Linked DNA regions of Oreochromis niloticus. The protein of the gene in region 2 purifies or fractionates together with the protein of the main gene of each other region. This does not show direct contact. Links are inferred from orthologs where the notes say so. Each region holds a gene or a part of one and is shown on either strand. Other genes may lie near its edges.

The links. Proteins that work in one complex are often made in the same cells at the same time.
Region 1: the proteins of pnn (region 2) and ncbp3 purify together in Homo sapiens (co-immunoprecipitation; 3 studies listed by BioGRID and IntAct, counting the BioPlex papers as one, with this or other methods). This does not show direct contact. The link is inferred for Oreochromis niloticus from reciprocal best matches to the Homo sapiens genes PNN and NCBP3.
Region 3: the proteins of pnn (region 2) and prpf4bb purify together in Homo sapiens (affinity purification with mass spectrometry; 5 studies listed by BioGRID and IntAct, counting the BioPlex papers as one, with this or other methods). This does not show direct contact. The link is inferred for Oreochromis niloticus from reciprocal best matches to the Homo sapiens genes PNN and PRP4K.

What each region holds. Positions count from the first base shown.
Region 1 is NC_031975.2:32,673,354-32,680,554, forward strand, and holds the start of ncbp3 (nuclear cap-binding protein subunit 3), read left to right. Parts: upstream 1-4,189; 5' UTR 4,190-4,279; coding exon 4,280-4,456; intron 4,457-5,315; coding exon 5,316-5,381; intron 5,382-5,635; coding exon 5,636-5,741; intron 5,742-5,838; coding exon 5,839-5,964; intron 5,965-6,097; coding exon 6,098-6,223; intron 6,224-6,295; coding exon 6,296-6,447; intron 6,448-6,530; coding exon 6,531-6,636; intron 6,637-7,201. Other genes in the region: rap1 GTPase-activating protein 2, read left to right, coding at 433-537, 626-717, 934-1,062, 1,142-1,238, 1,364-1,421, 1,497-1,567, 1,745-1,756. UniProt on the Homo sapiens protein: Associates with NCBP1/CBP80 to form an alternative cap-binding complex (CBC) which plays a key role in mRNA export. NCBP3 serves as adapter protein linking the capped RNAs (m7GpppG-capped RNA) to NCBP1/CBP80.
Region 2 is NC_031983.2:25,169,692-25,177,485, forward strand, and holds the start of pnn (pinin), read right to left. Parts: upstream 3,013-7,794; 5' UTR 2,968-3,012; coding exon 2,855-2,967; intron 2,442-2,854; coding exon 2,361-2,441; intron 1,298-2,360; coding exon 1,226-1,297; intron 882-1,225; coding exon 806-881; intron 691-805; coding exon 596-690; intron 449-595; coding exon 373-448; intron 239-372; coding exon 83-238; intron 1-82. UniProt on the Homo sapiens protein: Transcriptional activator binding to the E-box 1 core sequence of the E-cadherin promoter gene; the core-binding sequence is 5'CAGGTG-3'. Capable of reversing CTBP1-mediated transcription repression.
Region 3 is NC_031974.2:14,009,791-14,017,491, reverse strand, and holds the start of prpf4bb (pre-mRNA processing factor 4Bb), read right to left. Parts: upstream 3,013-7,701; 5' UTR 2,866-3,012; coding exon 2,807-2,865; intron 1,650-2,806; coding exon 1,559-1,649; intron 1,285-1,558; coding exon 149-1,284; intron 1-148. UniProt on the Homo sapiens protein: Serine/threonine kinase involved in spliceosomal assembly as well as mitosis and signaling regulation. Connects chromatin mediated regulation of transcription and pre-mRNA splicing.

The DNA.
Region 1 (7,201 bases), on a different chromosome or scaffold from region 2:
TAGAAACATGTGTAACAAAGTAAGAGACATATATTATATACAGCACGTTATATTTTCCCTCATCGATGAATTATGAAGTAAATTTATTTCTTTTTTATTTACTTTCTTGAACTTACGCACTTTTCTGTCCAACTTTCATTGATAATGAAGTTAAATCAACGCAGTCTTTATCCACAACATTATGTTTAATTAGTAAGAAAATCATTTTTACAGCAACAAAAAAATATTTCTTAGGAAAAACATGAATTTCATAGCCAGTAAAACCGGAGATAAGTTTTTATTTCAGTTGCAAACGGCTGCTTTCTGTATTAGAGTCACAGTCACACTGTGTAGATACCTAGAGCTTTTATTGTGAAAGGCGAGGACAGGAAGAAGCCATTTGTGTCAAACAAATCAGGATTCCATTACTGGACATCACTTCTTCCATTTCAGAGGGCGATGCGAGGGAGGAGCGTCTCCATGGAGACCATGTCGAGGGGCGGGGCTGGACTGCCCACCAGTTTGAGTGGGGGGGGTCTGGCACACCTGAACGTGGAGGTGAGTTGTTCTGCAGGTAACTGAAGGAGCAGGTTGAACCCCGCTCGTCTGTGAGCGGCTGTAACACCTGGACTCTTTGCGTTGGCAGTGTAACGTCAAGTCTCCCGTGAAGCGGCGCTCGGGACTTTTTCCTCGCCTGCTGAGCGTCGACAGCCAAACAGAGAAGCACAGCCAGCGGAGGTAACGCTGCCCAACGCTCTCCTGTCTCTCAGTTTGTTTACCTGGACAATAAAGTTCAAACCCACCAGTGTGCATGTCAGCACTGCTGCACAGGTGGGGGCACACCTTCAGGAGAGCCAGTCTCAGCAGGTGTGCTGCGTGTTACTGAGCTAACAGCTCTTACCTGCTTTCAGGACATTAACCCCGCCTCCTCCTGTCTCTGTTACGCCTCCTCAGCCTCCCCGGTGAGCAGAGGAGCTTCGACGGATGCCACCCGATGCTGGAGGTGAGGCCGGAGCTGCCGTCCAATCCTAGCACTCCGGAGGCGGGGCAGCGGGACAGGTGTGTGCAGCAGAAGCAGCAACAGTAAGAAATGAAAGAAGCAGATGTTTCAGTTTTCACTGCGAAACAATAAACTTCATCACTTTTTTACTTTTATCGGCAGGATTCACACGAAGAAGGAGAGCAGTAAGATTTCCAGGTCGACATCCAGCACCTGCAGCTTCAGCATCCCAGCTGACGACACACACCTGGTGAGACAGGTGAAAACACACTTAAACCATCTGTTGGGTCAGCGTTATATTCAGCTCAGTGTTATTTAGGGCGCCTTGTATTGTAATGCAGACCCTCATCAATGCGTCCTCCCTCTGTGTCTCTACGTGTATAGGCTGCGACGGTAGAAGGTCAGAGTTCAGCTCCGGTCATCGTGTGCCGCAGCCCCACAGGTGCGACGCCCGCTCACCGCCAGCGTTTCTGTTCTGGAGCCGTTCTCACGTCTCGTTTGCTCTCTCCTCTCTCAGAGCTGAAAAACAAGAACTCGCCCAGATCCAACCTGAAATTTCGCTTCGACAAGCTCAGCCACTCCGCCGCAGTAAGTCTGTGTGACAGCCAATCAGCAGGCTCGCTGTTTACCTGAATATGCGGAGCAGCTGATTGGGCTGCACGCCTCCAGGACGTCACTGCTTTTTGTTATTTTGTTCAGTGTGATTTTTCAAGTATTTTCTGTGTAATCTGATTACTGAGTGTGAAACCTTCCTTCTGTCTGCAGCAGGGACACTGAGCTGACAGGACGCCGCTGACAGGTGTGTGCTTTCCCAGAAGTCCGATTTTAAATTCCATTTTTCAAAGTGCTGCTTCTGTCACTCTGTTCTGCTTCTGAGTCTACTTCCTGCTTTATTTTGAAAGTTAGTTCCTCCTGTAGCGTCTCGTGTTTTACTTCCTGTCTTGGTTGGCGTTCTCGCCCTGGCGCTTGTCTTGGGTGGCTCGTGTTCACACTTTCTGGGCCATGATGTGAGCGACTCTCTGAGCTGGGTTTGATGTGTTCCTCTTTCTCTCGCTGCTTTCCAGAATAAAAGCCTGAAGCTTCAAACAGACGGCAGTCTCCACACAGGAGGAGGAGGAGGAGGAGGAGGAGGAGCAGGAGCAGGAGGAGGAGAGTCTCCTGATGGACCACCACACACACATACTTGTCTTTCTGTCTTTGTGAGGACCCCAAGTGCAGCTCTCCTGTTTCTGTCTGTTTTTTTCTTCTCATCTTCTGCACAAACCATAAAATCATTTCTGAACAGGACACTGAACACGTAGTTCTTTTTAAACCGTCCTACAGTCAAGTTCGACCCACAGAGCTCTCCCTGTTTTGCGCTTCTTTCAGTGTAAGATGTAAAGAGGAGGCTCGCTCGTTCCCTAGAAACTTTATTTATCACAGAAACACCAGGGGGCGCTGCAGAGAGGGGCTGAGATTCCACCCAAAGGACCAGGACCCGAGCAGCTAAGCTTCCCTGAGGGGCAGCGGTTAATGCCCCTCTCCCCAAACACCGCTGAGGTGCTCCCATCCAGCTGGGAGATGTCCTCTCTGCGGGGGTCCAATCATTTCAACCAAAACAAGAAAAACAAAAACAGCACAGCAGCTCAAAGTTTGGGGATTCACTCATATCAGAGGCAACCACAAGAACTGCAACTACCCGCCCCCTGTCTCCCTGTTAGATGACTGGTCCTGAGTGCTGTTTAGTCTTTTTGTCAGCCGGCACGGTGCTGGTCCCCCCGAAGGTTCCTGGTCCTGGAGGAGAGTTCCTGCGGTGGATGCGAGGCCTTTACAGGCCTAAAGTTTGTCGTTGGGTCGTGACTCTGATGGTTTCTCAACACAGACACAGGAAGGCGAGCGCATGCACTCAGGTTAAAAAGGACGGAAATACAGGAAACACGTTAACTGCTGGAGCTGCTCGGTCTGCGCGTCCATGCTGAGCTCTGTGGGATTTATTCTTATTAATAACAAATAATAACACGTGGCTGTGGGTTCAGATTCAGACACGTTAGAGACAGACGCTGCCGTTCTCCTCACACATTACAACGTCGTGAGCTCAACCTGAACCTTTTTTAAACTGCAACCAAATCAGTTTCACTCCTGCTGCAGGAGTCGCAGTGTGATGATCTGCAGCACACAGGGTCTGAGCGACGGGGGTCAGGTGGGCGGTGCTGCAGGTGAGTCAGAGAGGTGGAGCTGCTGGAGGTCAGGGAGAAGAACAAGAAGCGCTGTGATTGGTCTGATGATGGGGTCTGAAGCTTCGCTCTCCCTCTCTGAGAGACGTTCGCACTAATCACGCCAAGTCTCCAGGTCACTCACTCCACTGGAAGCTGCACAGCTGCAGGAGTTCAGCTTTTCAAAATAAAAGATGATGCAGCATGAACACAAAGATGTCTGCGCAGTTTTCTGATGTCATAAAGTGTGTGTGTGTGTGTGTGTTGTAAAACCTGTAAAACTGAACATTTCACAAATAAAAATCAGCTTCTTTCAGTGTTTGTTGTTGTTTTTGTCGTTTCATTTTCTCCCAACTTTTTTTTAAATTTTTTTTTTTTACTGAAGACCCGCTTCATCTGCAGACGTCATTTTTCATACTAACCAGCAGCTACAAACTGCCTCAGAACCAGATGCTGGTTAAAGTTCAAAACATTAAAAAAGTTGATTGTTCTTTTGTAAAAGAACCAAAACTAACAAGGAATTATTGACTAGCTGTTCTTCTTATTTCGTGTTCGTGTTTATTTGTGCATTAGTATGTCTCAGTATCGGTTATGAAACAATTAAAGCAAATAAATATGAAACTTTATAAATAAGAGAAAGAAAAGTTATTGTTTAAATAACGGGATGAATAAACGTTTTTATACTGCGTTTTCATTACTTTCCATTTCCGTTACAGCCTTGTGTTTATGTATTTATTTATTTATTGTAATTCTGACAATGTTATCTTGATTACCTGTTTATTAATTACTTTGTACTTTTTTGTTTAGATTTTTCAGACATTGTGCAGTACACTTCAGCCCTGTTATACTTAGGGCTGTTTACATTTACACATTTATTAAAAACATTGGTTTACATGTTTTAATATATCGTCTGTGACGCTGTTAAAGTGTCTGTTATTCAGCACCGCCCTCTGCTGAGCATGACATCATGTTTTACCTTTAATAACCGCAGGGGGCGGAAGAGCTCCGGCGCGCCGCCTGCAGGCCGCAGAAGAAGTCGTAGGTACCGTTTCCGGGTCAGCCAAGAGCCGCAGCGCTAGAGGCCGTTGTTCGCTGCTGGGTTAGCACCATGGCGGCAGTACGCAGCTTGCGGGTCTCGGTGAAATCAGACAGCGGCTCCGACCGCTCGGACTCGGACTCCGAGTCGGACAGAGATGCCCGCGAAGCCGAGCCGATGGAGGTGGAGGAGGGAGAGCTGGACCCCGAGGACATCTCCGTTAACCGCTCTCTGAAGGAGCTGCTGCCGGTAAGCCCGGACTAGGCCCCGGCACTCCGGGGACTGGCGTCTCCGTCGCCCGGCAGATCCGCGGGAAGTGTCGGCTAGCGGTTACTTGGACTCCCGGCTCTCTCCCGGGAGTCAGCCGCCCCCCTCCCTCCGCGCTGTAGGGGCTGCCGATGAGCGGCGGGGGCCTCGCGTTAACCGGGCTGGTTTACGTTTTCGACATGTTTGCGGGGTTCGTGTTTATTTCAGTCACTTGTTGCTGTGTTCACGTGCTGTTTGTGTGGAGCGCACGTCCCACCAAACTCTATTTAAAAAACATCGAATTTAAGATGTTTACGTGTAATAAAAAAAAAGAAAAAGCAGAGACCGCAGAGTGCTCATTTTCCGCAACTATTTCAGCAGGTATGCGCATACCGAACAGTTCTGCTTTCTTCTAAGCGTGAACCTGGATTTCATTATTCTTCCTTTGTTATTTACTCTTCCTGCTAGTGTAGAGCGTCCCTGCCACCAAACCTCATCTAAAACTAGGAAGTTTGACGTTTTTACGTGCAGAGAAATGCAAAACGGGTGAAGTTATTCGATTTGAATGCATGCACACTTAGTAGTTTTTATACCTTCGCGGGTGTTTCCTCTCCCTGCTAGCACACCAACAGTATCCAGAGCAGTTTATCAGCTGGAGAAATGAAGGTTTTCTTCTTGTGTGAAAGTCACATTAGAGTTGAGTCTTTACTGTGGAGGCCTGTGTGGCTGCTGCTGTGGACTTCATACAGCCTGTGTTTCCCATGTGTTTACAGTCACTTTGTAATGTTGCTGAAGCAAACAAACAGAAACGGCTCAAAGAGAAAGTGAAACCGTGGCTCACTGCTGTCTGTCTGTTTCACAGGACACCAGTCGGCGGTATGAGAACAAGGCTGGAGCCTTCATCACTGGAATCGACGTCAACTCTAAGGTAAACCATCAGAGAGTGTGTGTGTGTGTGTGTGGGCGTTAGGCTGCCACTTTAAAGTGTTTCTCACTGTGGGCGATGTTAGTGAAGTACATGCAAGAGTCTCTGAGCGCCTGTAGGGTCAGGACTCATGTGAGTGACCTTTCCAAAGGTCACCATGACCTGATGATATCAGGTAAAGAGTGATAGCTGAGTGGGAAGCTCAGGGTTCAAACTCCTCTGAATACTCGACTTATTTCCTTTTTCTTCCTCATCAGGAGGCGATCGAGAGGAAAGAGAAGCGAGCGCAGCGTTTCCATTTCCACGGGGAGGAGAAGATCGGCCAGCGGAACGTTTTCCTGGATAAAGACGCCATGAAGAAAGGTACGTGTCCTCCATGACTGTCAGCAGGCAGAGCCAACCTTTTCCTGATGAGGAGCTCGTTTAACATGTCGTCGTCTTCTTCTTCTGTGGTGCCCAGCCATCCCCCAGCTGCGCATGGAGGCAATCCATGTGATGGGCGTGGACGACATGAGCACGCAGGACGTCTTCGGGTACTTTAAAGAGTATCCTCCGGCTCACATCGAGTGGATCGACGACACTTCCTGTGAGTACGGCATGCAGACAGAAGAGCCCGGCTGCGGAGCTCATGAAGCTACTGCACGGGGCGGGGCATGTGACTCTCCCAGCCAATCACAGCTCAGGTCAAACCCTGTTCTCACCACCTGATGGTTTCCTAGGTAACGTGGTTTGGCTGGATGACGACACCCCCATTCGGGCGCTTATCAACACCAGCCGGATGCCTGACTCGGAGGCTGTTACCACGGAGACGGGAGGCACCAGCCAGCCGGGCGAGCAGAGCAAAGGTGAGTTCGAGTACTGTAGGGGAAACCACCAGAAGCCTCAGGGCATTGTGGGTAAATGTTACGATGTCGCAGGTCGGCGAGGTCAAGGGTCAGATGACGAGGACGATGAAGAGGAGGAGGGCGAGGTAGACGAAGGTGAAGAGGAAACGGCGAAGAAGCGCAGCGAGGAGATTGAGGGGAGAGACAGCGACGCAGAGACAAAGACGAAATCTGAGAGCGGACAGGTAGGACGCCACCTGACCAATCATCAGGTTTACTGACCAGTGCCCAAAAGTGATCGATGATGTCATCGGCTGTGTGCGCGCAGGCCGACCTGTCGCGGGCGGAGAGAGCATCCCTGCTGAGGAACGACCTACGGCCCGCCATCAAACCCTTCAAAGGAAACAAGCTGCTGCTGCGCTTCGCCACGCAAGGTGACACACACACACACTCACACACGCACAAGCCCATTCAGCTATCTTAGTGAGGACCTTCATTGACATAATGGTTTCCCTGCCCTCTTACCCTAACCCAGGGGTCAGCAACCTTTTACACCCAAAGAGCCACTTGGACCCGGTTTCCACGCAAAAGAAAACACTGGGAGCCGCAAATACTTTTTGACATCTAAAATGAAGATAACACTGTATATATTGTTTGTTTTATCTTTGTGCTTTGTGTAAACAACTAAAGTAAGTAAGTAAAGTTTATTTATTAAGCACTTTTCACAGACAGGCAGTCACAAAGCGCTGTACACAAATATTAAAATAAACACTACAATCAATAGACATTATACACAATGTAAAAGATCTAATGTAAATAATGTAAAGAATATAAAATACGTAGATCAACAAAAGGCTTGTTTGAACAGAAAGGTTTTTAACTGCTTTTTAAAAGAATCCACAGAGAAACTAAGGTGTGCTGCTTATGAAATCCATGAAGTGCTACAGAGAAAATTACATTTTATTTATGTAATTAACACATTTTGAACTCTTAAAAAAA
Region 2 (7,794 bases):
AGTAAGTCCAGTTTCATTAAAAATAAACAAAACTCAGCCACTTTCATGCTAGTCCCACTTTCAAACAAATACACTGTCTTACCAATTGAGCCAATTCCACTTTCTGCTCCAGAAGTCTCAGCTCTGTCTGCTTGGCTCTCCTCTCTTCAAACAGCTCCCTCTTTTCATTCTCCACCTTCTTTCTCTCAGCCTCAGCCTGAACCTCGAGCTTCTGCTCAATCTCAGAACGTCGCTTTTGCTGCAGGATGACAAACAGAAATATGAAGCAGAACAAGAAAAAAATCATGGAATTTATGACCTCATCAACACAGAAACCTATATTTTCAAAAATACTGCTCTCATAACCAAGCAAAAGATGAATCTATTCCTCACCTTTTCTGAAGAGACATTTGACTCCTGCTTGAATTTCTGTAGGGTCCCCATGAGCAGGCCGAACATGCGCCGATTCCTGACCAAGACAATACAAACACCACCATCACACACTTAATTCTCAGCTGTAGACACGTTTTGCCATTTGCCAGATGAAATTAAACTGATCATGGCTCAGACTATTTAGTAATCAAATCTGAATGTAAATCTAGAGTTTAAGAGCTACCTCTGTTTGCCCCTCTCATCCATGGTTTGGTCCTGAATGAGATCTCGGCGCGTTCTCTCTTTGGAGGTAGCTACTACAGACGACTGCAACGCCGGCTGAAGGAAGGACAAGAAGCAAATTGTTAGGATTTTTATCACTTCAAAGCAGAAAAAAAAAAAAAAACCCACTGTGAGGCAGCAAATACTGATCAAGTATTTTTGACAAAATTACCTTTTTGACATCATCGTCATCCTCAGCGTCGCTGTCGTGACGCATGTCCCTCCTGGCCCTCTGGTCCCCTGCCAGCCTGCAGCCACACAAAGATCAAATACTCATAAGAGATGGTACTTTGAAATCAAGACAAGGAGGGAAAAAAAAAAAAAAAAAAAAAAAAAAAGTACAGAAAGCTGAGAATTCATTCAATTAATGCCTTACATGTGCAGAAATGCTGTTGTACTTTCAGTCTGATACAATTTACTCTAGAAAACTTGTTTTAGTCTACATAACACCCCCCCCCAACAAGAAACATATTTTCTTATACTTGTTAAATAATCTTAATATTAATGAAGGGTTTCAGGTAAAATGTGTTACACAAGCTCCAAAACTAGAAACTACCCAATCACTATATTATATTTCAAGTCGAGATCTCACCTTAGCAGGGCTCCTTCGATGTCCCTTTGCTTGGCAGGAGGGCCGCCGCTTCCCATGTCTGAGAGACTGCGTCTGAGAAAGGACAAAGAGGAAAACTTTAGAGATGCACAGACTGAATTTTTTGCGGTTTAAATAATTTATTCTACCTTTTTTTGGAGAGACGCAAAGAAACTCCAAGAAAGCTGATTCCGTTCATCTGGACGTGTTGTTTTCAGTCAGAAATGCTTCACTCATCCAAGTGACTGAGCTCAGACTGAGCTGACCCTAGGTTTCCCCAACCTTTTAAACAGTTTATTTGCATAATGACCGAAACTACCGTTAAGGACCAACAATGGGTCGTGAGGTCAGTTTCATTGTCCTTAAGTGGTCATAGCACTTTGCATATTAAGTCACTTGAATGAGCAGCCAAAAGTTTTGCCCACTAAAAACAACGCCCTGATGAACAATCAACTTCCTGGGATTTAATTACTTGGATGATTGAGCATGCATCAAGACAAAAAACAACCATTTTCAAACCCTCTTTGAACATTTAACTGAAACAGAAAATGTGTTTCAACAGTGCTTCCTTTACAGACTGAATCATAAAAACATCAGACAAATGTGATTAACATTTATCCTCAACTCCATGTTTTTGTTCTTGGCTATAGTAGATGTGGATGGTTCACAAAAAAAACCAAACAAACCCCAAAGCAAATTATAACACAAAATGGGGCAGCTTCTCAGTCCATTACACTTTGTAAACCAAGCTACTTACTTAGTGAAAGTTACATAGTTTCTGCTTCTGATAATTAACTTCCCCGTGGCTATTAATATGAAAAAAAGCACAACAATTCCCCCTTTTAACGTCTAACTGATGAAATCAATATGATTATAAGTGCGCTATTGTGCAAATGGTCATAAACTACGCCTTGCATTCTGTAACCAGCAACAACCCAGTTCAAACCTTCACAACAAGGCTTATTTAAGAAGTGACGTGACGCCAAGTCTCACATTGAATAGATTGTGGAAGATGTGTGATTGGGGAAGGGGGGGGGGGGGGGGGGGGGGGGTACTGTTGTATATACTTTTCAGATCACCCACTAAAGTTGAAAATCTAAAGCTCTTTTTTTCCGAGATGGGGAGCGCAAAGATTTACCTGAGCAGGTTTATTCCTCTGCCTCTACCTCCTCCTCCAGGGCCTGCCATGGGGCCGCCAAGCCGACGGATCTGACCCGGCCTGCAAGCACAGGGGACACCGAGGTTAACACAAAAGAAAGAATACAGTCTGACAAATAAGACTCACTTTAACATTATGCGTTTGTGTTGCTGCAGAACCGTTTTATTATTAAGCAAGACAAAGTGATGTGCCGCCCGGACGACGCCTCCTGCAGGGCCTCGACTCTGTTCATCTACCAGATTTAATGTTCCAATTCAATATTTTAAGAAGTTACCAATTTGGTTAATTTTTATTCGTTTGATGCGAATAAATTAAGATGGTAAAAACATTATATGTGCGACACAAAACAAGGAGGCGGTGCTGTTTGCAGGTTAGCCGACCCACGCTAACTTAGCACACGTCGACTGAGTACAGCTCTTCAGCTTCACTCCAGGAACTCGCTAAAAAACTAAATAACCAGTTAAGCTTTTTACCTTGATTCATTAGGATCACGTCCGGTCAGTTTACGAATATTATCGTCCACATGCTTCAAACTTTCCTTGGCTTTTTCTAGCTGGTCTTGCAAACTCCGCACTGCCACCGCCATCTTGCTTCCAGTTAGCGCGAATCACGTGTTCGTCCTCTTCTTCTACTTCTAGACTCTTCTTCCTTTGCATCCTGTCTCTTTATCAACGCATCACCGCCACCCTCTGGTCAGGGATGGATAATGCTTACTAACGTGTATGTATTGGTTCTAAAATCGGGGGTGAAAGGTGTGTTTGCGTGTATCTGAAATAAAATTAATTTTCCCAGCCTTAGAAGGGTCTTTAAAGTTGATCAAACTAAATTCAAAGTAAAAATGTTGACAGAACAGTACAACACACACACTAAAGTACAAGGAAGCAACTGAAGGCAAGAAGCAGCGGATTATTCACCACTGCAGGACTGATCACATATCACAGTGTGTGCTATTTCAGCCAACAGTGCACCTATATCTTCTCTGAGAGTCAACTAAATGAAAAGCGTATTATCTAATTTCATAAGAAGACACATGGTTCAGTGTTATAGCCTCTTACTTCTGTAGAAGACAATAAATTAAGACCCTTTCCAGGTGGTGAAAAGTGCTATATGTGAAATGTTGTAAGAAGGCACAAAATATCTGTGAATCCTCAGAAGTCACAAAGGAATTAAACCAGAAGAAATGTATCACAATTTGCATAGAGCAAGAGGATTTACTTCTCAAGTTAGCATCAGCAGAATAAATTTAGACTTAAAACATCTGATTTGTATCTGTTTTTACTAAAGCTTCATGAGAGGTTTAAAAGATACAGACGATACTCTCGAGACTGGATTAAGGACAGGAATGAAGAAAGTGTTCTTTTATTTCACTCCTCCTGAGTACAGACACTCTTTCTTCTCCTGACAGCCAGATTCAGGGTGCCTGCCTGCCTCTTTTGATCTCTATCAGTAACTGAGGAAGCCGGCTCCGAGCTGCGAGCCCCGGATTGAAAATAAAACCCTTCTGAGTCCCGCTGTTGCAGCTCTTGCATATCAAAGTGGAAACCAAGCATCAAACCACAGCTGATTTCCTGGCTTTTAACAGTGTGCGCTACAATTCTGCTGATGATTCTTTCATATCATTCTACTACCAGTCCAATAACACTGATGTCATCATGCATTTAATTACACAACAGAGAACCCAGCCTTCTAAAACCCACTCCTCTGACTGTTGGTTGGGAAAAAAATGTGTTGTTGTTTCAGCTTAATTGTGAAATGCCACAATGATAATCTCCTTGTCTCATTATCCAGATGAGAACGAGCTCTTTGTCTGAGACCTGCAGCATTAGTGCAAAACAGTTATTCCTGTCCATTAATTAAAAAGCTTTTTAATTAACTTTACTGTTAGCAGACTGCTTTTTAGCAATTTGTGATGCATAATAGTACATTACAGTTGGGAAAGGCAACCCATAAAACATTTATTCCAACATATTACTAAAACTGAATTATGGCTCCACTTTCTTAGCTTACAGTAGGGCCGCTTGATGTGGTCTTCTCCTGCTGTAGTTCATATGCTTCAAGGTTTAATGTGCTGTGCCTTCAGAGAGGCTCTTGTGCATGCGTGGGTTGTAAAACCACGTATATCACCTTTCTTCTACATTCTGAATCTCGGTTTGAAGTTCAGCACGTTGTTTTGACCATGTCTACGTATCCAAATGGGTTGAATTACGTTCAGGTAAGATAGTTGTGTTTAAAGAGGTGTACCTAATGAAGTGGTAGGTGAGTGTATACTGACATGAGGGGCATTTTCTTGCCCGTTTCATTTCTGACATTGGCGTCTTCAAACTATGATTAAAATTATTGTTGGAAGACATTTTTGAGCAGATAAAAAGCAAGTCTGTGGTGACAGGCTGGTGTGAAATCAGTAATGTGGAAGCAGGAGAGCAGGAGCAGAAGGATATTGAAATCATCACAGGGGAATATTTTAACCTGTGAAATATTTTTTGGAGCAGGATTTTGCAGAAGAGCTAAAAAGGAGAGACACGTTTTTCTTGTCTTATGTTTTACATCTCTGGGCTTCCATAGATCCATTTGCAAGTGCTTTATGCTGTTTACTCAAAGGAAGTCCCCGTGGTGCGCTGCAGGGACTTCCTCTGAGTAAACAAAGAAATGGCAAAATAACATTGTGTAATATCGTTGTTCGGTGGGGAGGGACTTAACAAGTAAAGATGAGGAATTTTCTGGTGGGGGTGGGTGGGGCAGTTTAACATTTTCTTTACATTTGATTATTTCATCAAATTCTTCAGTGGCACTTTCTCACTTACCCACTCGACTGAGCCACATCAGATAGATAACAAAACCATTGAGGTGGGTTAACAGCTTTGATTATTGCATTAAATGGGTGACCTTAAAAGAAAAGGCAAGACCAAGTCGTCTTTTTCATCATCTCAGGAATCTTTTCTAATGCTTATGTCCATTGTAGGCGTGGAAATGGTTAATAACTGAGAAATGTCATTTAAAATTTGGTGAGTTGAACCCATTCAAAAAAAACAAACAACAACAACAACAAAAAAAAAAAAACAACCCAAAGGTCATGAGGAGCAGTTATTGTTTTTTTGCACTAACGGGTGTGGAGGTGTGAAAAAGACACAATAGGCTACTTAAAGACACACGGGAAACCAGTGGGTCATGTAATGTCCCTGCAGACTAATTGTGACCGAGTTAGTTTTGGGTCTACTTGACATTCATGCACAATAATGGTCTGGTTTGGTTTGATGATTGGAGATTGCAGAACGACAGACGACTTCTTTCCAATGCCAGTTTTTAAATGGATTTAAGGAAAAAAAAAAAAAGAAAAAAAAAAAAAAAAAAGACAAACGAAGCAAGTGACATTTTATTGTTTTTATTCACTGACTAAAAGAAGAGAAGCATTCATTCCACAATAATTCAAATCAACATTCGTCAGGTTGACCCCTCAAGTGTATGCCATCTGTCAGGTCAGAGGTTTTACATGGAGGTTTATAACATGTCCTCCCTTTTCTTCACCACAGAGCCATGGATCAACACTGTTCAATGATAAAATCTGTCCTCTTACTTCCAGAGGACTCTTTCCCTGCAGACTAATCCAAAAAACAGCTGGGATGAGTTCAAATATCACTTTTATGTGCCTTTTCTTATAGACATTGAGGGTAAAACTCGGTTTTGCTTGGTCTTAAAAATCCACAAGCCATTCTTTTAATCACACCTTGGTCTGTTTGACATAGCTCAGGTGAGTTACAGCACTGACTCGCTTTTAAAGCTCTGTGCAGAACAGATTTGGAAGTTTTTGTTTCTGAAATATGCTCTGTGGTACCTGAAGTCTGTCCAGCTGTGTTCTGGGTTCAGTCTGGTTCCCTGCTTACAGAAAGGAGGTAATAACCTGGTGCTATGTGCTCACGTTAACCGACACAGTCGCACAGGAACGTTACGCTCAGAATATTCAACATTAACGATGGTAAAACCATTTCTGCAAAAAACACACAACAACAGAGCTTCTGATTTACAAAGTCTGCGTGACTTCAGAGTATACTTCATGTTCATAAATTGAACCCGGACATGTGTTGCATAAGAGTATACCACGGTAATGCAGTGTTGATACCTATACAAATATGCACTGTGTGAGTTTAGATATCTATATAGTTTATATTTCTTCCTCTATGGTTTTTCTAAAGATGCAGCCGGGCGCCGTCAGCACTGCTTGTGCCCCCTTTGTGGCCACTAGTAAGACTGCTGTTATTGCAAACTGTCCTGATTTTAAACAAATGCACAACATTCGTACCACGATAAAACTGGGGCCATCTAGCCAGTCTCACAGAGACCAAGAGTGAGCCCGCCGTCACCGCTGCTGTCGCTGGGCTGGCTGACCAGAATCAAAAAGATCTTAAAACTAAACGATAAGATTTCAGAAATCATCATAAGGCCAAGTATTGTCATTGCAAGTTCTTATTAGTTTACATCTTCGCTTCTATTGTATGACAGTGAGAAAAACCAAATATAAAAATAGGAGGAAAAGAAAAAAGAAAAAGAGGGTGAGTGTGGATTATATGCATTCCTCTTGCATAGTTGTATTGCTGGACTGGGCAGCAGGCCTGCCTGCCTGGCTAATTAGGAGGTTTGGCTCTCCAGACTTGACAAGAACGACTTTGTTTACCAGCCAGAAACATCACAGCCACAGTAGCTGAGATCTAAATGGAGATAGTTGGCCGACACTGAGCATGAATATCTATCAGGTCCATGATACAGTCAGGCGCTGCGTGAATCTCGCCATGCACCAACGATACTGACAGAATTTGGCCAGGTTAATGCCATCAGTGCCATTTTGTTGTTTCGCCTCTACATCTACAGAGAAGCAAGTAAATGATAACACCATTACTATCGCACCCAGGCTGACAACATCATCATCATCATCATCATCATCATCAACATCAGCTGGCTGGAAAACTAAAAGCCGGAGTGTCCAAACTTCCTGTCAGTGCTAGTACATCTAGCCTCAAACACATCTACTTATCTCTGTTACAGGACTGATTTTATACCAGTGCAACGCACATCCAGTGTTTGTCTCCAAGTTACTGAAACACATCAGGATGCTAATCAGATTTGTCACATTCCTGCATGCGACCAGCCCTCTGTGAGCTCATTCAGTCCTGCATGTACTGGTAGTAGTCTGTGGTCAAAGCATTTCAATGAGAAAAAACAAACCTAAAAAAAAATAAATATACAACCTTGCTATGAGGAAACCCTGTCTCTTCATGTTAATCCTCCAGAAACATTGAACCAGCCCTGAATGTCTTTTAGGGAAGGCTTCAGGCCCACAACCATCTTACTACCTCTTTTTCTTAAGCTATTTAAGTTAAGTTTCATTTTCCAGAACATCCTGAGAGTCAACATCAGAAACCCT
Region 3 (7,701 bases), on a different chromosome or scaffold from region 2:
AAATCTTTCGTTTTTATAAATGAACACTTAAATATTTTACATTTTTGCAAACTCACTTTTATTCATCTGAAACTGAAAGGCAATTCTGTCATCTGTCACAATCAGCTTATTCTGGGAAACGGTGGAAAAGCCAGAGGTGTGCACTAACCTCAGTGGTGACTCCTGCCTCTCAGCATCTCGCCTCCTGACCTCTGGTGAGCGGCTACGGCGTCTCTGGGGCGAGAACCTAGTTCTGGAAGGAGAGTGGCTCTGTTTTGATGTCCTTTCTGAGGCACTAGCCGAAGGGTAGCGGGCATCTCTATGGCGAGGGGAAGCGCTGCGTTTCCTTGCAGGGCTGTGAGCCCCTCGTCTATGAGGGGAACGGTTTTCCTTTCCTAAAGAAGTGTCCTTGGATGGTGACTTGGCTGGCCGTTTGTCCCGGTCAGCGTCTGAGCGACTTGGCCGTTCCCGTCCAGGCGATCTGGACCGTCGGCTCACTCTTTCCTGGTTGGGTCTATCATCCCGCTGCGGAGAGGACCGTTTATCAGTGCGGCCGACTTTCTGCTCTGCCCTGAAGCTGGAAGGAGAGTTGGACTTCCTTCTCTCCTTGGACCTATCAGTGCTGTGTGAACGCTTCCTGTCTTTTGACCTGCTCCTTCCACGCCCTCTGTCTTTTACACCTGTGTCCTTGGTGCTTTTGGTCACCTTGTCCTGCTTAGACTCCTTGGCCGGCTTGTCTGCAGACTTACTCCGACTACGGCGTTTGGAGCTAGACTTACTGCCCTCTGTTGAGTCCCGTCTAGATTTGCCACTTTTTCCTCCTCTGGGTGATATAGGTTTACCTGAGCTGCCCCTTTGTCGTGGTTCTCCATTTCTGAACCTTGCATCTCCATCCTCTTCAGATCCAGAGTTATACCCCTGAAGAATCAAACCCATGCCAGACTGAACTTTTCCCTCCATCAACTGGCTGTCAAGTTCAGCTTTGATCATGGCCCTCTGTTTCTCCAAATCCTCCAGCAAGGCCCTGTCATCCAGACTTGGATTTCCAGAAGAAGGAGAAGATTCAACTTTTCTATGAGTAGAGGAGCCAAAGAGGACAGCGGCGGAGGGAGAGGAGCCCTCTTTGCGTTTGTGTTTCCTATGTTTGTGACGATGCTTGCGTTTGCGGTCCTTGTCCTCATCAGAGGCATGTTTGTGCTTTTTGTGCTTACTGCGATGCTTGTGTTTTTTCCGCTTGTGTTTACCGCTACTGCTGTGATGTTTGGACCCCTCCTCTGTCTTCTCGCCGTTAGTTTCAGCCTCCTCCTAGCATGTGAACATACCAGGATAACAATCAATTTAGTTGACAGATGATCTTTGTAATTCTTAGTTATGGTGTAAACATAGATACAATCTTGTTTTCTTTGAGTTTTTACCACCTAACAAACCTAGACTGTATTCAGAATGACTGATATAGACAAAAAGTGTTACTAAATTTTGGTTAAAGGTGATCTTACAGCAAGTTATAGTAGCACAGTTTGTTATAGTTTGAGATTTGTGTTAAAAGAGATGACACCACTGATGGCATTTAGGTCCTCACATTGTCAACCCCTACCTCCTCCTCCTCCTCTTCAGATATGTCGCCACTGTCCTCATTTCCACTTCGTTCATGGCTTTCCAGATCTTGCTTCCTGTTTCAAAAAAAGAATATTTAATTACTTTAGTGCTAAATTATTTGGCTGACTGAAGTCAAAAGGAAACAAAGGTCTAAAAAATACACGCAACTGGGTTAAATATAGTTTTTGGACTGGTAGTAGGAACACACAGCCTGACCCTGAATGCAACTGATAACATGCCATAGAATGAGACACACAGAGTTCTGCCATCTGTCCAAAATACTGACAGGTGCTTAAGTTTAAGTAACAGTGTCTGGGATATAAAAAACTATGATAATCAACTAAAAATTTCATTTACACATCAAATCTTTTTTAAATCTGGCAAAATAGGAAACTCTGTCCAATTATTATTTCTTTAACACACAATGAAGTGAACACTATTCACAGCAGCAAACATCATACAACATCATCATCAGTGGTTTTAATTTTTATACATGCACATAAAAAAAGACCATAAAGCTGGCTATTCTTTCCTCGAGGTAACTTGCAGACATCGTGAGCATTTAGTCTAAAAATCAGTCCATAGATTACACAACATTCATTTCCGAGTTTAACCCATCATCGCCCGAAGTGTAGCATTTTAGGTTACCGTAAGGTGTTTAACATCAGGTATACCGGGATTATATAATGTGGTCAGTTTAGCAGGAAACTGTAGAAATACTCATCAGAACCACTCGTTGATGAGAAAGTGACACTCGGTAAATCCCCGTGTAACCTTCACTTGCTCCCTCTTTCCCCGAGCGAGACCGCCAAGATGATTTTCACTCATTAGCTCTGACATGCTAACCGTCTTTAGCAAAGTTAGTGCTAACCAGCTACATCCCGTGAATAATTTTAGCTATGCTAACTTACATTACATAATAGCTGCTTGGGAGGGAGTACAAACCTTACACTGTGTGTGGCTTAGCAGGTACACTTTATTGAGGCAAATACACACAAACGCGGATGAGGTACACTTCTGCATGCTATCACCGAAACTTAGTGCTAGCCGCGCTAAAGAACGTTAGCTAGCTAGCCAAGAACGTTAGCCTATCTTGAGCATGCCCCGGCAACAACGTGAACCTGCTACTCCGTTAGCCCCGGCGATGCTAACACTTCCCTTCATTTTCGACCTGAAAGAGGCCTATAACTTACTGCCACAAACTTTAAATATCTGTAATTTAATAACTTACACGTGCTCGTTGCCATTATTCATTCTCCTGGACGAGATGTCCATCTCAACGTCGGCCATTTTCCTCAGCTGAGGGGGCTTTTTCTTCTTCGGCTACTTTCACCACATGGGTACAATGATATCAAAATACTGACACGTTCCTCTGGTGTTTTGGCGGCGCATCGCAGTCAGGATTTGTGCACTGAAGTCTGTTCTTTGTCCACTAGAGTGTGTGCTCGTGTAACTTGAAATGTTCATATTAGCCACTTACGTCACACACATATACACCCCCCCTCCCCGAACAACTGCCAAATTAAAATTTTTGAAAATTTTTGGTAATTATGTCAAATCTTTCATCTATTAAGCATCTTGAAATTTCAAGTTATTTCTGAGTGGAAAATTTGTAATAAGCAATTCGAAATGTAAAGTTATTAACCAAAGTTTTTAAGTTGAGAATGTTGAAATTTCGTGTTATTATCTCAGAATTTCGAAATGCTAACGTACAAATGGAAACATTGCAGAGTAAGTCAGTGTTCTGAGATACGCAACTCAAGAAATTAAGTCATTATCAAGAAATTTTAAGGTGCGTTACTCGAAATTTATATTTACTGTTTGTGTACTGTATGTATTGTCCTGTATGTATATTTAAAGGAGCGAGAGAATAGCTCTTTTAGCCAGTGTGACTGTTTTTAATGTGGCTTTTAATGATCTGCTGTTGTGTGTTATTCACATGTTTGTGCTCACTTGTCCGTATGCAATATATTATTTGTTTTTTACTTGTCATATTATTATGCGTCGTATTTGCTGTGGCTTTTGCTGCCCTATTGGCCAGGTCTTTCTTGGAAATTAGATTTAAATCTCACTGAAACTTTTCACCTGGATAAATAAAGGATAATAAAAACAAATGTATAATAAATACCCCACAATGTACTTGATCTTTTTTGAATTTTCGTATTTTTTCTGTATAAATCGATGGGCGACCTGAAGACTTGGATACAGGATTTTAAATGACCACATTGGCTATAGAAAAACTGAAAACATAGTCGTGCAAAGGACAGGCTGTTGGAGCCTGCTCGGTCTGCTTTTACCACAGGATGGCCCAGGAGGTTAACTACAGGTGGATCATGTGTAGTGGTTCACGTGGTTGCTGAAAACCCCTCGTGCGCGTCACAATTGCGCACCTCAGTGTGCGCCAATGGTCAACAAAATGACACATGAATGATTACAGTTTTATCTCCAGTGCAACATTTTAACAGCAATGATTTTGCGGAAGTTACTTAGTATTATTGTGGTAAAAATAGAACAAGTAAAAGCGTCTCACTGTGTGATACTTGAGTTCTGTGTCTGAACTTTATTGCCTTTTATTTAAAGAGGATACTGTAAATAAAAGGCAGGTCATTGGTCAGGTTCTTGTACCTTAGAGGAATGTGCTTTTTGTGTGAGTTTGTTAAGCCACTTAACACTGACCTATGAATCATCCAAGCATAAAAAGACACATAGCACAAGGGATGAACCAGTATAATGCCTACACATGACAGACAACTTAGCTAAGATATTTCCATACATCCTAGCAAAAAATGCAGAAATGATCAGCGCTTCAACACTTCTACACAGTTCTATAAATAGCCTTTTACTTATGGTAGTCATCAGACCTGCAAAAACAAGAACAAGTCCAGTATCAGAAAGTGGTAATCCTTCTGCAAAGGGGAAAAACAGCATGTGACTCTGAAAGACAGAGTTAAAAAAATACCAAACACCACATCTGCTTTATCGTGTTGCTTCATACAAAATGCAAAATCTAGTCAGACAGATCTGAGGCATCATGTTCGCAACACAAAAAGTTGCGAGCTGTAAGCGGTAGCTTCTGAGCACAGCTCTGTGAAACCGCATGACTTTCAAGGATGCAAGCCCATTCAAGGGCTGGGCATTATCCACTGACAGTTTTATATCAAGCAGTAAATTGTGGTATTGTGAGACACCTGTGGCTGCTCCACAACAGTGACGAAGTAATGGAAGCATGAAGACATAACGGTGTTAATGCTGACATCCTGGCAGATGGGATGAGATTTTCTGGCAAATGATGATACTGCAGATGGTACTATTATCATCATGTGTTTGCTGACATCTTGATTTGTGTATGCTTGAGTACTCTGAAATTTTGTTTACAAGTACAACAAGTATATACCGAAAAATACCCAACGCGACTTGAGTTTTACTGGAACCCCTCTCACATAAATCCACACTGTATGTACAGAGTATAAACACAGAGAGTCTCAGGATGTAACTCGCAGCCTGGGCCTTCTGTCGTGCAGCCTATCTCAGATTTATATGGTAAAGTTGCAAGCTGGAGGTCTCACAACTGATTAAAGTCTCTGTCACAGAGACATTAGATATTCCATTAGTTCACAGCCCCATCCCAGTGTCCCCAGTAAATCATGGCAGTATACAGTACGAGGCAAATGTTGTATACTCCATTCTGCTGTGCAATCTAAAGACCAATCTCTGTGTCTTACATTGTATGACTTATGAGGTGTGTAACTACTTATATCGTGTAACGATATAAGATAAGATCTTCAGATGCAGGAAGCTTTATTTTAACAGTTCCTATATCCTTATTTTAGGTTAAAAATCTGATTAAACTTTACATCTGTACAACTGTAAATCTAGAATAAATCCATCTGACTTTAATGAGAGTACCATTTCACTGTTTGGCACAAGTGTCGAATAATAGCAGCAGTAAGCTGTAATGCTAGAAGGATAAGTAATGATTACATACTTTGGGAGAAGGTGCTGATCACAACATCCTGTTTCAAGTCGAGAAAGTCCGAAGCATCCTGACGATTGCTGCTATATTTCGATCCATACCCATAAATGATGAGGCCCTTAATCAGAACATTTGTCACAGAGTTAGAGCCAGATTGGATAGGGCTGTGTGACATGCCAGCTACCCAGAGGCGAAGCCAAGATATTGTGAATGTTCCTCTGTGGCTAGCTGCAGTATATGTCAAAATCAGTTGAACCAGTTCATTTATAACTAATTTGTTTTCCTTCATATTTAGTGATTATGTCTTTTAGAGCTCCAGTCTTCCTTTTTCTAGGGATGCTTTTGATTAGCATTTTGATGCTATTTGATCAGCATCATTGTGATTACAGAGAACAACATATGCAAAATAAGCTGCTGATGAAAAATAATGTGTTTCATCTTGTGAGAATACTTGTTTAAAAGGTCATAATGCACATATGGGCTGCTCAACCACGTACTGATACATGGACATGCTGTTACCTGTATTAATCTCTGGCTCTCTTTCACAGCATGTCTTTTGTACTGTCTTACTTTTCTCTCCCCAACCGGTCGCAGCAGATGGCCCCGCCCCTCCCTGAGCCTGGTTCTGCTGGAGGTTTCTTCCTGTTAAAAGGGAGTTTTTCCTTCCCACTGTCGCCAAAGTGCTTACTCATAGGGGGGTCATATGATAGTTGGGTTTTTCTCTGTATGTATTATTGTAGACTCTACCTTACAATATAAAGCGCCTTGAGGTGACTGTTGCTGTGATTTCACGCTGTATAAATAAAATTGAATTGAATTGTTAGCATGGGTAAAAACTGCACCTTTGCACAGTTATACAATGACTGTGCTCTAAGATCTGCAGCCACATTACTGATGAATGGACATTTCACAAATAATGGCGCACTGACACGGTAGATCTGATTCATGACTGCAACTCGTATTTCCCTGAGAAAAAAACCCAAGCAGACATTAAGCCTACCTTGACTTTTCAGCCCTCTGCTCTTTGGGCTTTACTGGAGACACAATAAGGACGGGGCCATAAAACATGGGGTCCAACAAATGCTCGCTGAAGACAACCACAGTCCATTATAGAGCCTGTTAAAGACGCTCAGGCAGTTTGCTAACCCGCTGTCACCCTAGCCTCTGCACTCTTCACTGGGTTTTGTCTGCTGCTGCAGACAAAGATAGAGTTATAGCTCAGAATGACTTCCTCAATGTGACGCTTAGGCAGCTCTTCTAAATAAAAAAAGAGCGCCTGCTCCTATCAAGCAGATGTCATTTGTTCCCTGACAGATGTATCCATATTTTTTCTTTCTCTTGTCTTCTTAACAGTTTTGCTTTACGAGCCTCTGTTATTTACTTTTCTGAGAGAATAAGAGCTGGCATACAATTTACAAGGGCAAAGAAGTGGGTTTGGGAGTATGGGCTAAGCATATGGCCATACTCCCTGAATCGGGGGGATTCAGTTGATGTTTGCTTTAAGGAAAGGATGAGAACAACCAGAAAAAACCCCTTCTGAAATCCAAAACAGCTCAGACCAGTTGGGGCAATGGACACTGGGTTTGTTCCACTGTGTACTGCAAATGCCTGATCAGTACTGGAATCTGGGAAGTTGGAATCAGTTTTTTTGTGCTGTTCTGGGTGGGGTGCCTTTTCCATGGGGTGGGGTGCTTGCTTTGCAGTGTTTAGGTGGGTGGCATGTGTCAAAATGACATCCACATGAATACCAGGAGCCTAGTAGATTGTAACATAAGTATCAGTGTTATTCGCCATTGGTTTCATTTTTAGGTTTATACTAATTAAAATTAAAATTAAGAAAGTCTTGTAACTTCAGCCAGACTGGGCGGTGACTTGAAGTTCATTGTGGACGTTAAGATCATCAGTGTAGGTGCAGGGTGTGGCAGAGGAGAACGTCTGTGAAGGGCTGACAAATTAGAAAACAGGAGTTGCAGAAACCCTTAATTTTACTCCTCTCAAGTGCTTAGTTAAGCATGGCTGTAAAATTGCATATGGGTGACAGTCAAAGCCTGTAATGGCGATATTTAAGCAGTGCTGTAGGTCCAACAGCTGCGTCACAAAATAAACAGTGTAAAACCACCCAGGTTACAAACTGGAACTAGTGTACTGTATCT